Linked DNA regions of Neurospora crassa OR74A. The protein of the gene in region 2 interacts with the protein of the main gene of each other region in a pairwise test. Links are inferred from orthologs where the notes say so. Each region holds a gene or a part of one and is shown on either strand. Other genes may lie near its edges.

The links.
Region 1: the proteins of NCU03061 (region 2) and NCU07954 interact in binary tests that used the Saccharomyces cerevisiae proteins (3 or more experiments, as listed by UniProt). The link is inferred for Neurospora crassa OR74A from reciprocal best matches to the Saccharomyces cerevisiae genes RLI1 and HCR1.

What each region holds. Positions count from the first base shown.
Region 1 is NC_026504.1:1,229,592-1,236,815, forward strand, and holds the start of NCU07954 (hypothetical protein), read right to left. Parts: upstream 4,351-7,224; 5' UTR 4,107-4,350; coding exon 4,088-4,106; intron 3,783-4,087; coding exon 2,993-3,782; intron 2,926-2,992; coding exon 2,910-2,925; 3' UTR 1,823-2,909; coding exon of another isoform or gene 1-1,822. Other genes in the region: pod-1 (mitochondrion biogenesis protein), read left to right, coding at 1-1,822; aod-1 (alternative oxidase), read left to right, coding at 5,922-6,280, 6,376-6,481, 6,552-7,175. UniProt on the Saccharomyces cerevisiae protein: Component of the eukaryotic translation initiation factor 3 (eIF-3) complex, which is involved in protein synthesis of a specialized repertoire of mRNAs and, together with other initiation factors, stimulates binding of mRNA and methionyl-tRNAi to the 40S ribosome.
Region 2 is NC_026501.1:4,383,304-4,390,824, reverse strand, and holds NCU03061 (translation initiation factor RLI1), read right to left. Parts: upstream 4,084-7,521; 5' UTR 3,800-4,083; coding exon 3,780-3,799; intron 3,644-3,779; coding exon 3,550-3,643; intron 3,482-3,549; coding exon 3,476-3,481; intron 3,404-3,475; coding exon 3,064-3,403; intron 3,012-3,063; coding exon 2,850-3,011; intron 2,785-2,849; coding exon 1,927-2,784; intron 1,874-1,926; coding exon 1,563-1,873; intron 1,486-1,562; coding exon 1,453-1,485; 3' UTR 757-1,452; downstream 1-756. Other genes in the region: crf6-1 (chromodomain helicase, variant), read left to right, coding at 7,335-7,521. UniProt on the Saccharomyces cerevisiae protein: Component of the multifactor complex (MFC) involved in translation initiation. Required for the binding of MFC to the 40S ribosome. Required for the processing and nuclear export of the 60S and 40S ribosomal subunits.

The DNA.
Region 1 (7,224 bases), on a different chromosome or scaffold from region 2:
ACCGAATACCGAGACGGCTTCCGGTTCTGGTTCCCAGCCGACTCCCGCACATGAATCAATAGCAGATTCCATGTCTAAATACCTTCACCTTCCTCACCTCCCCCATTTGCCTCATCGGCCCACAAAAGAAGAGCTTCTGGCGGCAGCAAGCGGGTTCTGGTCGCGTCTCAAGGTCCGATTCAAGTGGTTCTCCATCAGGAGCATGCGCCCCTGGAACGCCGACGAATGGGGAGCGTTTGTGTCCTTCTTCTTATTCGGTCATTTGGTCTGGATTCTTGTTGGCACAACTACCTTCTTCTCCCTCATCATCCTCTTTATCAACACGGTGTTTGCCCAGGAAACGCTGGCCAAGTGGATCGGAGACTACCTGACCCAATCTGCTGGCCTTACTGTTGTCTTCGAGTCGGCTATTGTGCCCAAATGGGGAGATGGTGTCATCACTTTCCGCAATGTTTTCGTTTCTCGGAGACCTGGTCAGCCCAAGTCTTCCGTCAAGAAGGGTTCTTCCGAAGCTGCGGCCGAAGCTGCTGCTGCTAAACAAGCCGCCGAGCAAGAAGGCACTGCCGTGGAAGAGGACGATGGCAATTACACACAGTTTGACGTCACTATAGACACCGTGAACGTGGCTTTATCTTTCCTCAAATGGTGGAACGGAAAGGGTCTCCTCAAAGACGTCGAAATAAAGGGTGTTCGAGGCGTTGTTGACAGGACTTCGGTTGTCTGGGGCAACGAGGACCTCAACCCCCTTGACTTCAGACAGGAACATAACCCTGGCGACTTTGAACTGGATCACTTCAAGATGGAAGACTTGCTGGTCACCGTCCACCAACCGGGCGGTTTCCGGCCCTTTTCCGTTTCCATCTTCTCCTGCGAGCTGCCTCAGCTACGAAAACAATGGCTGTTTTATGACTTTTTGTCAGCAAATCACATGTCCGGATCATTCGATGGATCACTATTCACCATTCATCCCAGACAGATCCACGGTGTGTCCGCAGCAGATAACGGCCGTCACCACCAAGACGAGTTCGGTTCTCCCTCGGCCTGGAAGAAGTTCTCCCGACTACGGATTGATGGGCTGAAGATTGACCACTTGAACCGCGGTGTAGAAGGACCGTTTGGCTGGATTTACGAAGGCAACGTCGATATGATTGCCGACATCATGTTCCCTGCGGATCCTGAGGAGGGTCTAAGCAAGGTTGTCGCCGAGTTTTACGACAAAATGGAAGAAGCCGTAACCAGCAACCGCTACCTCAAGATTCTAGACGGCAACATTTCTCCCAACAGCCGAAGCAACACCAACAGCCCCACCCTCGAAAGCGGGCCAATTCCGGAATCTGCCTCTGACATCGACCTCACCGGCCACCACGACGAGCTCCCCACCTCGGAGCAGCACTTCCCCCCCTTGATCCCTCCCGCGACTCCCAAAGAGCCAGCCCCGATTGAAGAAACTCCCTCCTATCTAGTCATGGACCTTCGCATCCACCTCAACGACGTCCGCGCCGCTGTCCCTCTGTTCAACAACCCACACATGAGCTACGTGAACCAAGCCCTAGTACGGCCCATCGTCGCCTACATCAACGCCAAGCGCACCTACATCCCCATCAGTTGCCGGATCGTAAAGCGGCTGACGGACTTTGACGGAGCTTGGACCGTTTGGGACTGTGGGCTGATGGACGATATGAGCGCCGAGGTGTACCGTGCTTTTGCCAGAAACGTAGAGGATCAGCAAAGTAGGGTGAGGAGATTCAAGCGCGTGGGACTGTGGACGGTCAGTCTCGTGGTACATGCGTTGCTGGCTGGCGTGGCGGGAGACTTGATGTGAGCCGTCATTGGATATGACACTGACGATTATAGACTTTTGCCTGTATTTTATCAGGCGGGTAGAGGAAAAGTCTTGTTTTGTGACGATATGGGGTTGTGTTGTACTATCCTTTTTTCTCTCTCTCTTCTCTACTTTACTTTACCGTGAGGGGGTTACCATACCTTTCCAAGCGGTATTTCACTGTACTATACATACATCAAACATACTTATATGGCTCTGAAAAACAGGAGCTCGAAGGAACAGACAGGCAGGCAGGCAGGCAGGCAGGTTATGGTTATGAACAGGAGGGAGGGGATTTGAAACTGGTTTACGCTCTTAATGACCCGGACGGATCGAATTACTGGCTGGAATCATATGAATGCGGGAGGCGAGGTGTTTTGTGTGCCCTGGTTTTGTTGTCAGTGATGATGGTTGCTCAGGGCAGATCAACATCGCGATCGGAGTTTTAAGTGTTTTGATTAGGGTACAGCAACATTGTCTGAAAAGTTCACATGGTGTTCATGGTCGGGAAATATCACCTGTTCACTGGTGTAAGTTTCTGAGAGGGTTCTGAGATGGTGACTGAAATAGTGTTGGTTGTAATTTTAGCCATGGCATCGATAAGAGAACCTCACACCAGGATGATATGCAGCCTGGACTTTCGAAACGTGATGCTCGCCTTCATTATTGAATGCACTCTAAATCTACTTTCCCCCATGCTATATGGTATCTGCTGCCTTTTCCCGTCACCCCCAAGTCGCGACTCGATCAGTGCCCCAAGAGGCCATCCTCCTTTTTTCGTCCAGTCTGGCACTGATGACGACTCTGATCCCTCATGCATCCATCCAAGACATCATGCCACTGAACCTTACGTCCGGACGGCGGACGTGCCGTGACCGTTGCGCGGGTGTCGTGGTAGTCTACGCTTTCTTTTTACGCCATGAAACACACGCAACCGCTACTTTTTTGCTTCGCTCCGAATGCTTCCCGGGTGAGATGAGTATTATACCTGGTGAAGGGGATGATTCTACATCCCTTGATGGGAAGAGGGACTCGAGGCCTCTCTTCCTCACAAAGCGAACGATTGTGATTTATCGGTAGAAATCTTTCACATGAAGTCATCACTAGAGCGAAACGTTAGCAATCGTTCCCCACGCGTATCTTTTCTCACTCCACCTCAAGCCAACTTACTCTCCGAAAGCATCATCATCATAAGTGTCGTGGGCCTCAGCAATGGCACCACCACGACCAACACCAGCGAGCGAGGTCTTTGTCTTGGCAGCCTTGCTCTTCTTGCCACCCTTTTCGGCAGCCTTCTCCTCCTTGAGCTTCTCGTTGCTGAGAGCAGTCAAGGTGCTAGCAATCTTCTTGATCTCGTCGCTCTTGAGGTCCTTGGCGAGCTGCTTGGAGAACTCCTGGAGGAAGAGGGTGTAGTGCGGCTTGGGCGAGAGCTTGCCGATCATGGGGCCAAGAGTGGTGCGGAGGGTCTCAAACTGGGTCTTGGTGGTAGGGTTGAACAAGGCCAAGGTCGAGATGTCGATGGTGTTGTTGGGGTCCTTGGGGTCGATCTGGACAATGGTGCCCTTGCTGACGACCTTGCGGTCGTTGCTGATGCCGATGCCGGCAAACAGGTCCTCAGCGTGTTTAAGATCGGACTCCTTCTGCTCGCGGCGGAGGCGCTCGCGGCGCTCGGCCTCGGTCTCCTCCTCCGCGTCCGAATCCTCAGCCAGCTGGCGGGCGCGCTCGGCCTGACGCTCGGCGATGCGCTGCGCCTTGGACTTCTTGTTGGCGGCGGCTTCGGCCTCAGCCTTGGCCTTGGCCTCGGCGGCCTTCTTCGCCTTCTCGCGCTCTACCTCGGAGTCCTCGGCGGCATCCCACGAGTCGAGAACGTCGCTCTCGTTTCCCTCCTCATCGTCGAAGCGGCGGCGGCCGGGGGCAAGGACAGGCGAGTTGGGGGCGGAAGACTCCTCCTCTTCCTCGTCTGTGGTGATGAGGGGTTAGTTAGTCTGGGTTTCGAACAGGTTGTGGTGGCGCAACAGGAAAGTCGATGCAAGAGTTGGTTCTGGTTGATCTGTATATATAGGCTGCGTCGCTGAAGTCCAATTCGCCTCAAACATGGAAGCCTCGAGGCATATGGCAATGTTAACAGCGTCTATCGCAAGCCGGCGCAGGCATCAGGCAGCCTTGTCACGGCGATCGCGGCCGCCCACTTTCGCCGACATACACTGTTCGCGGGGTTCGTCTTGCGCAAAGAGGGAAAAGGCAAGGAGAGCGAGGAAGACTTACCCCACTTCTTTCCAGACATGTTTGCGATTTGGTAGTGACGATCTAGAAAACCGAACGGGTCTTTGCGACAACGATGTCTGGCGCGACGAGGAAAAGTTTGCGTGCTGTGGTTGGTTGTGTCCAAACTGCAAAAGAGAAGCCGATCGCAGTCTTGAGAAGTTGAAAAAGCGAGCAGGGGTCAGCCACCTTGAGTGTGGTTCCGTTCGCAGTGGGCAAAATAACTAGGTATTGTTAGCGGGGTTAGAAGACCAACAGTGAAACAGCAACAGCGTTTCACAGGTTCTTCAAGGTTCTTTAACGTCTAAGATTTTAATACAATGCCAAAACTGCCAGGGAAAAGGGCTTTGTGACCAATTGGATTTCATTGAGAAGATGCCCGATGAAGATGAGGAGGAAAACCAGAACCTCCAGACGCCTGGGGCGGCTAGTCTTCAATACACAGGAATCGTCCCCATTTATTCCTCCCGTTTATGTTTTACCAAGCACCTGACTTCCTCGTACGTCTTGCTTGCTACCATCCCTTCTGAATAACCACTTCCTTCCCATCTTTGGTATATATCAATGCCTTCCCTCCAGAAGGCTTTATGCGGGGTCAGTGCTGTGTCGCACGGGCCCGTCAGTCAGGGTCGGTGCTGAGTCCTGACAAAAACCATCAGTTCGCCAACATGCCCGTCTTTATTTCCCTTTTTCTTTTCTTTTCGTTCTCTTATCTTTTAGGACATCTTGTATATGCACGATGCATGCACCATATATGTACGGCCTCGGTCAAGCAGCATGTGCTAGGTGCAGCAGGCCTAGAAGGATGGCTTTTTGGAGAAGTCTGTTAACGCATGTGGAGAGAATGATTCATAAACAACTAGGTGGATGCTAAAGCTCTGCTCTTTCACCAAATGTTCTGGACCAGGAGTCACCCGAAAATGCCCTGCGTCGTCAATATTTTGTACACCACTTCCACCCCGCTTCCGACACGGGATAATATTTGGACACTTGCAATTGTTCCTTCGATCCTACACTCTACGAATAACTACCACTGACGTCACAGCAAAGTTAGAAGTTTAACATGAAGCCATTCGCAACTTATGGCCCAAGACATTTGTTTGTATATTTGCAGGTTCGGAAGCAACCAAGCCATTGCTCAGTCATGCTGTGTGTCCTATGAGAACAAGTGCGACTGGTGTTCCGTTTCCCTCCGCTCGCTATTACTGTCAGCAAAATCTCCAACACATAACTCGCCCAAGTGCCCTGTCAACCAACCAACCAACTATCAATGATCTCGAAATCTCCTGTGGCTGTCTTTGTGTTGAGTCACAATCCCCCAGTCTTAGTGTACTTGCTCAGGGGCTCGCTGTTCTTCTGGATATGTACAAGGCTAATCCCGAGAATGTTGCGGAAGTGGAACTGCGCCCTATGGCTTGTCACCCGGGAGGTCCCGACACCGCCAAACAACGACATCCAGCTGACCACCACAATCGATGCCCGGTTGCCACTTTGAGGATTCAAAATGAAATTTTGTCCTGGTTGAAGATCTGGAGCTTTCCGGGTTCCTTTCGCTAGCGCCCGCTATTTGCTTGTTCCTGGATTGTCTTGATGTTAAAAAATGGAGATTGCTTGGGCAGTGTCGGAACTCTATTGCTCCTTTGAGACCAGGGACGGACAAACTCGGTGTTTTCAGTCAGCTCTCGTATTCCAAATTTTTCCCTGAAAGGAGTTGCAACTGGGGGCAGGAAAGGACGATATAAACGTCCCGTGTCTAGTGCTGTCCGACACATATGGACCATCATCACAAACCTCAAGCGAGTTCCATTACAACTTCACATCACTCCCTAAACTCTCGATGAACACCCCCAAAGTAAACATACTCCACGCTCCAGGACAAGCGGCCCAACTAAGCCGTGCCCTGATATCAACCTGCCATACTCGGCCTCTCCTGCTCGCGGGCTCTCGAGTGGCCACTTCCTTACATCCAACACAGACGAACCTCTCTTCCCCATCACCTCGCAATCTCTCGACAACAAGCGTTACTCGACTGAAGGATTTCTTCCCGGCCAAAGAGACCGCCTATATCCGGCAGACACCACCCGCGTGGCCTCATCATGGATGGACAGAGGAAGAGATGACCTCGGTTGTTCCCGAGCACCGGAAACCCGAGACTGTGGGCGATTGGCTCGCATGGAAACTCGTACGAATCTGTCGGTAGGTAAATTCCAAGGAGGGTTCCCATATTGCCCCTCAAGTATCTTGCGGACGCGGAAGCAGACGTAGATTCAAAGTGTTCTAATATCAAACAGATGGGCCACTGATATAGCGACGGGCATACGTCCAGAGCAGCAAGTTGATAAACACCACCCGACGACCGCCACCAGCGCGGACAAACCTCTGACCGAAGCCCAATGGGTATGTTCTATGGAGCCCTACGAGGACGGAATGGCAACACAAGCTAACCAAATGTCGCAAATCCATATAGCTCGTCCGCTTCATCTTCCTCGAATCCATCGCCGGCGTTCCCGGCATGGTAGCCGGCATGCTCCGCCACCTGCACTCCCTCCGCCGGCTCAAACGAGACAACGGCTGGATCGAGACTTTACTTGAAGAATCGTACAACGAGCGCATGCACCTCCTCACCTTTATGAAGATGTGCGAACCCGGCCTCCTCATGAAGACGCTCATCTTGGGAGCGCAGGGCGTCTTCTTCAACGCCATGTTTCTCAGCTACCTGATCTCCCCCAAAATCACCCACCGGTTTGTCGGTTACCTCGAGGAGGAGGCCGTACATACCTACACGCGGTGCATCAGGGAGATTGAGGAAGGTCACTTGCCAAAGTGGAGCGACGAAAAGTTTGAGATCCCGGAGATGGCGGTGAGGTATTGGCGCATGCCGGAGGGGAAGCGGACGATGAAGGACTTGATCCATTATATCCGCGCGGACGAGGCAGTGCACAGGGGCGTTAATCATACATTGAGCAATTTGGACCAGAAGGAGGATCCGAATCCGTTTGTGAGCGACTATAAGGAGGGCGAGGGCGGGAGGAGACCGGTCAATCCGGCTTTGAAGCCGACGGGATTTGAAAGGGCGGAGGTCATCGGTTGATCTTGGGCGGAAGGTCTTGACAGATGGTTGTGGTTTGGGTTCATGAAGC
Region 2 (7,521 bases):
TGCAGCATGGCAACTGCTGAGAGAATACCTACCTCGGCTTCAGCGCCTGGACACCGTCCGTCCGTCCGTCCGTCTGACCGACCTGTCATCTACCGTAGAAACTCGCGCCAGATTGGTAAAAGACTATCCTATCCCTCTTTGGGCGCCTGACAGTAAGTAAGCATAGGAGGCAGGTACCTAGGCAGCATACGTACAGAAAGAATGTGCTCTACTGGCCCAGTTTTTGAATGTAGTAAGTGCAGTGGTACCTACAGTCAAAAAGGCCGAGTTGACAAGCCCCCGCCCGACCAGAGAATATGGCTCTCCTCCACCTTAACACACACACATGCACACATTTCTGTACAGGAAGCCGGACGTGAGCCTTACAGGACTGTGCTTATTCTGCTCACGCCCAGATAACCTGGTTTTCTGGCAGTAGAGGTTTGCCAATCCTGTTTCTACGGTAGGTACAATACCAGAAATACTTATGTGGTGGCGGCAGTGTAAAGGAAGTGTTAGATTATTGAGTTCCCCCCCAATTTGCATCATCGAACAGCCGCTATAAGTCAGTCATGCGGGTTGGGTAGCATGTGCTACTGTCATGAAGGAGGGTTGCGGCTTGGGAAAGCGTGAACAAGACCAAGGGGTAAGATGAATCTGTCTTTGGGCTTTTGGGAGTCTTTCGTAGTTCGCGCGCCGGGATGGTACTTTGTCTGATCTAGAATCGCCTCTGCCTTTGTCCTCGCAGCGCAGTACATAAGGGACGAGGCGTTTCTCGTCCTGAAGAATGCTTGCTCGGCGGCAAGAGAAGCGCGATACCACAACTTGAATGGATGCAGTTCATATATGTGTATGTGTACAAAAACAATTCAGATATTCCCACTTGAAATTCAATATGTATTCATCAACTAGTCAGGTCAATCGCCTCTCTTGCAAACCTCCCCTTAATCCATTCTTTGTGCTTTGGTCCCCTCAAAACAACCACTTGGTTCTGAGAGTTCCGGCGGCAGTCGCCCTGCTTGACCCGTTGCCCCTCAATCTACAAAAAGTTCCAATCCAGGTTGGTGGTTTCCCCCCGTCCGCTGTTGTAGTCAACCCTCAAGCAAGGGTTTCACCAAAACCAAAAAGACAGCGCAAACTTTCTCACAAAACATGTGACGGAGGGGTATATCTCTCTCTTTTCGTAGGACCAGGCAACAGGGAACTGACTGCCGCCGCCGGGGTTAATCATTCGGCGCGTCGTCCTCAGAGGAAGAGGAAGAGACAGTTTCGAGATCAGAACCAGAACCGCCGCCGCCGCTACCGCTACCATCCCCGGCGCCGCAATGAATGGAGGAACTGCCATTTTCTTTTTGGACGCCTAGAACGCCGGAATCCGATGCATCATCATAACAACGACGGGGGCGTTTAGTATTGTTGCCTCTGCCGCTAGTCTTATTATTCTTGGGAAGAACATCATTGGAGACACCGTCTTTAACTGCTCTTCTCGGGATCGTCCAAGAAGAACTATAGGGGAAAGCAATGTTAGTATGAGGTCGCAGGATGGGAGAACTTTTCCAAATTGAAACAGAAACAAAACTTACGTAGTTGCCACTGAGCTTCTGCTCCTGGTCAAGCTGAGAGTTCAGCTTGTTGATGCGAGGGCGATAGTTGGTAGGATCACGGCGGAAAGTGACATCAAGGTTCTTCAAAAAGGTGTTGCAGCCAGTAAGCAAAGACTCGGGCTTGTTGGCGTGAGCGTCGATACCAGGCTTGCCATCAAAGACAATAACACGGTCGGCAAGGTAAGTGGCCATGATGAAATCGTGCTCGACGATGAAGGCAGTCTTCTTGGCGTGCATAATGAAACGCTTGATAACACGGGAGGCAATGATACGTTGCTCGGAGTCGAGATCTGGAAGACGGTTAGAAATGCATCTTAAGGGGGTGGGAAAGAGGTTCACGTACAGGCAGAAGGCTCATCGATGAGGTAGATATCAGCAGGAATACCGAGAGCAAGAACAATGGCAACTCTTTGCAGTTCACCACCGGACAGATGCTTGACTTCCTGGTCAATGAAATCATCAAGCTTCAGAGGCTTGACGACGTCAGTCTGGAACTGAGGAGACAAGAAAGCAGCCTTGATCTTCTTGAAGAACAGCTGGCGAACGGTACCCTCGAACTTGGGAGTGATGGTCTGGGGCTTCATGGAGATCTTCATCTCGGGAACCCTCTTGGTGCCGTCAGGCTTAAGAACACCGGCCAAAAGACGGCAGAAGGTGGTCTTTCCAGTACCGTTCTCACCCATCATGACGATAATCTCGGAATCAGAGAAAGAACCGGCGTCGATGGACAGGTGGAAGTTGCCCATGGTCTTCTCCATGGCAGGGTACTTGAAGGCGCGCGACTTTTCCTGGATGAACTCCTCAGTGCCTTCGGCAATGCGGAAGGTCAAGCTCTCGTCACGGAAACGCAAGTTCTCAGTAGGGATGTGACCATCGAGGAAAATGTTGATGCCTTCACGGACGGAGTGAGGGAGGGTGACGACACCGTATACGGCGGGCTGACCGTAAAGACAGCAGACGTAATCGGAGAGGTAGTCGAGGACAGACAAATCGTGCTCGACGACAATGACGTAGTCGTCGGGCCGGAGGAGAGAGCGAATGATGCGGGCGGCACTCAATCTTTGCTTGACATCGAGATACGAGGAAGGCTCGTCGAACATGTAGACATCGGCCTTCTGAACGCAAACGGTACCGATGGCGAAACGCTGGAGCTCACCACCGGAAAGGAGGGTAACATCACGGTCGTAGATGTGGCGCAACTCTATTCAAGATCAGCCAGGGCGTCCAAATAAGCAAATCACAAAGCGCAAAGCATGTGGAACCTACCAAGGGTGTCGAGAACCTCGTCAAGGTTATCGAGAGAGCGGCGGCCCTCAATCAGGAACTTGACGCTCTTGTCGGGGGTGCGGATGGCCTTGGGGATCTGGTCGACGTACTGGGGCTTGACAACAGCCTTCAGGTCATCCTCGAGCAGCTTGGTGAAGTAGTCTGCGATTTGTCAATCCTCTGATCTCCTTCCAAGGTGAGCCGTATTCCTTACTCTGCAACTCAGAACCGCGGAAGTACTTGATGACGTCCTCCCAGTCAGGCGGGTTGTCGTACCTGCCCAGGTTGGGCTTAAGCTTTCCGGAGAGAATCTTGAGCGCGGTACTCTTGCCGATACCGTTCGTTCCGACAAGACCCAAGACGTTGCCGGGACGGGGCATGGGAAGACGGTGGAGCTTGAAGCTGTTGGCGGCATAGCGATGGGTGATCTGGCTCTCGAGGTTGGTGGGCAGGTTGATAATGGTGATGGCGCCGAAGGGGCAGCGCTTGGGGCAGATACCACAACCAATGCACAGCTGTTCGGAGATGAAGGCGATGCGCGACTCGGGAGACACCTAGATATCGGATGTCAGGAGGGTGTTGTCGCGCAAAACACGGGGATCGCAAGGGGTCCGGAGAGATCTTACCTCGATCTGTTAGAGAGCAGTTAGCTGTTTGGTCTTGTTACCGCACGAGGACTATGGAGAAGAGGGAAGCTTACACAGAGTTTACCGGAGCGCACAACAGGGCATGACTTCTTGCATTCCTGGCGACACTTCTTGGGCTTGCACTTGTCGCTACTAACGATAGCGATACTACAGATACGAAACAGGCGAGGTCAGCAAGGTGGAAGCCAGACAGCGCATACAGCCAGACCAGCACAAGCCAGTATCGGCCGATGCTTCTACAAGCAGAGCACACACGCGTGCGGCCTTGGGATCGTAAACGCACCGAGTGAGTTTGTCCGACATCTTGTCTGTGATTTCGCTCTGCGGACTGATCGAGATGGGTGACTGTGGGCGGACCGCTATCCTAGGCGCAAAGCGGGAAATGGGGGAGGGGGAGAAATTCTCAAGATGCCGCACGTCTCGGAATACTACGAGCAGAGTGGAGAGGGCCAAACAAGGCGGAGGAGGCTGACACTCTTAAGTTTCTCCAGAGGCAACGTGGGTCGACGCCTGGGTTGTGGACAATGTCAGTTCCCTCGTCTCAAAAAATGTCGAGACCGCTGCACCGTGCGCCGAGTCTGGTGGCAGGGCGGATCGTAAAAAAAAAAGACCCCGCTTGCCCTGATGTGAAGTAAGGTAGGTCGTCGGGCTTCCTACTTAGGTACCTCTAGCCCCGCAACGCTATGTACCAACATGGTAGCAGGGTTGGAGCTACAAAAGAGGTGTAAGCTGAAATGTGCCACGGTTGATAGGTTACCTCTTAAAGGTACCAACTTTACCTTGGTATCTAATGCCAGGTGAAAGCCCACTGTTCCTGTTTCGCTGTCATTGCTTGCCTTAGGTGCCCCGTGTGCACTTTTTGTAGGTATGTAACGACCCTCCATATAAGTAGTAGGTACCTAAATTCCATCTCCCCAGTCGGGCTGAACTCTCAGTCCACCCCATGATTTCTGTCTCAGAATTCCATAACATGACAGGAGCTTCTACTATCCTATCATTGCGGTTGCACCAAGTATCTAGCTGATGTTCACGCAAGTGGTCGTCCACATTGGGTTCCACTTTTACTATTGTTCCTCTGTCCTTTGTTCTGTTTCCGCTTCCCATTGATCTCCCCTTCATTTCAGGACAACTTCTGCCCAAAGATTCTTACAGTGACCCAAGTGGCATCGTGGAGAGTTGGTTAATCATGGGCGTGTACTTAATGTCTTGCTGAAGTCAGTTTGTGCTCATTATCAGCCAAAACAGATCCGAGATCTGCTGAACACAGCCTTACATCGCCTATTTTCCCGAATACATGGTCATCGCTTCCAATGGACGACTATAATGCGGATGATGATGACTAGACAGTTTCATTGATATTGCCACTTTCTCTGTCCAGGTGATGATAGTTTCCTCCGTGGATGAACAGATCCGACCCATCCTTCACAAGTGAGCGTTAATATCTAGTACTCCCTCGGCTAAAGATAATGCGTCAATGGCAGCGTATTGTTTGTTTGGAGGGGAGTACTTGTATGGCCGACGACATCAAGCTTGATCATGACGCTCGGTAGGAGGATGTGCATAGTTACCTAGTTAGGGTTGACAACTAGAAGCGCTCGGACTCCTCCCACAACCGTATCGTTTAAGGAAATCACTCGCAGCATCACGGATGCCGTCAACGATCACGATGCAGAGAGGCGCAGGGTTACTGACATCAAACCGGACTTCCGAACAGAGCTCTGGCTGCCTGTCGACATATGTTTCCTGCGCCCCGGCCGGGCAGTGACTCACAACCAATCTACTCTGATAGCAGTCTATTCCACATGTTGTCGAGGCAGAAATGACATCGGCATCAAGACGTTGAAGATAGTTGCCGACAGAGGTCAATGTTGGCAGTCAAGGAAGGCTGGTGGCCCCAGCAGCACGGGATCGTGTGGATCCATCGTCCTGGACGGATCTGCTCCAGCTGCGCCAGGGAAGCGGTGCCTCTACCATACCCACTTGGACATACTCATAATCTGAAGGGAGTTTAGGACTGGTATTTCTTTGGTCGGATAGGCATGAGACGAGGATAAAATCTTTGATTAGGTATATCTGTTTCTCTTTGACACTTTTGGAGGCTCTCGGATTACGTTTGTGGAATGGGTTAAATAGAGGTGGCCCCGCACAATCACCTACAAGATGTTGTCGTCCTGACTGCCTGCCTGGGTTTGCCTGCGTCGGCTCGCAGTAGGTTCTCTTCGAGCCGGAGCTCCAGTGGCGGGAAATCATCCAAATCACCTTGGTGCCGGTGCTCGCGGTGTACCAAGTTGAAGTGAAGCACCAGGAGAGACCAGTGCATGGCTGGCACCTGCACCGGAGCTGACAAAGAAAACCCCTTCGACGCCAGCATGCCTACCTAGAAAAACCGGGCGACGTCCACGTACCGGGAGTATTCTCAGCTTGTCGTCCATCTTCCATCTTTCCCACCTTGTTGATTCCCAAGTCGCACCGGTACACAGTCGATGTGCCATCAACCGACAACAACACTTCTCTGAATCATTTGTTGTTATATCAACCACATTCCATCCTTGAACTTCTTCCAGTGTTGTATAACCTGATAGCTGAGCGGTCATAACCATACATACCTCCAAGCAATTGAATCGGGAATCGCCCGCTCTCGCCTGCCTCACACCGCCCACGCCGTCTGGAAGGGTACGATCGGAGTGGGCAACCAACGAGCTGGCAAGCTCCAGCAATGATATCCGACCAGGCTCGAGCCGCGTTGGGTTTGTGTCCTGTTATTCGTTCTTTCCAAACCCAAACTTACAAGAAACATTGATCTTACAGATCTTCGTCACACAACTGAAATTCGTGCGTTGTGAGCAAAACGGGCAAGGATCGTGACAGCGCCCATCGGACTGGATTAGGCAAGTGTGCTTCCTCCTGGCGCTACCATCCAGTGAAAGAGAACATCATTGAAGTGGTCAGATCACAAGACACGCGTTACATTTCGGTTTCGGTAATTACGGAGCTGGAACCTTTATGTGGCGGTCCCACACTTGAGTTCGGAGGTTGCTTCCAACGAAACTGACCAATCAGAAAGTGGGACTGAGCAAGCATTGAGTTGAGGGCAAGCGGGCCTCGTCTGAAGCACAAGCCAGGCAGTGGCCCACTGGTGTTGCTGGTTCTGGTTCACCATTTTCATGGATTCTTCTCCTCCGTCCATCACTGCGATTTTCCGCTACACCATCACCACTGCCAGCCCCCTCCCAGGGTCTCCGGCCTTGACCATTTCCCCCACCACCACTCCTCCCACGGCACCGCGATTGTGAATCTCGGGCTTGAAGATTCACTCTGCAGTCTGCTGCCTGGAGGCTCTTAATTCTTCCATGACTTGTGAGTCCAGCCACTGCCGCCCACTGCCCACTGCCCACTGCCCACTGCGTGCCCTGCCCTGCGTATTCGCCTTGCATTTTCCCCATCATTTCGCCCATCGAAGCGGGCCTCGTCGCCCTTGATATCCATCGTCTACCAGCTTGTAGAGGTCGCCAGACCGTCGATTCTTGATGAATATCGCCTCTACAGCTGCCCTAGACCATGGCCTGCTCTCCCGTGCCCTCAGGGCGCCCACACGCGACTGCAATCGCCGTCGCCGTCCGCCTCATCATCCACAGCCTTGCCTCCATCACTTACACGCGAGCCAATGCGACAATCATCATTGAGGGTCGTCCGCTACCCCGATACCGGATTTCTCTGATGATTCCGGGTCGCAAGAGTGGCCTCTTTCCATCGCCCCAAGTAGTGATTCGTAAATGACGCGTACCGCTGGCTGACATCGTCGTCTTACAGCAGGCAGCCTCCGCGTCTAAGTCTCAAAATGTCGACATCTCCCGAATCCGGTCCGGTGTTCGGGCATGTGTCACCGCCGGCGGATGACAGCCACTTCAACTTTACCAACGATACCGAAAGCACGAGCGACCTTTCAGACGTTAATGCCGCCGAGGCCGACCCAAATGACGACGCCGACGCCCAGTCGTATCAGCCTGCCGACGAGGCTGTCTCGC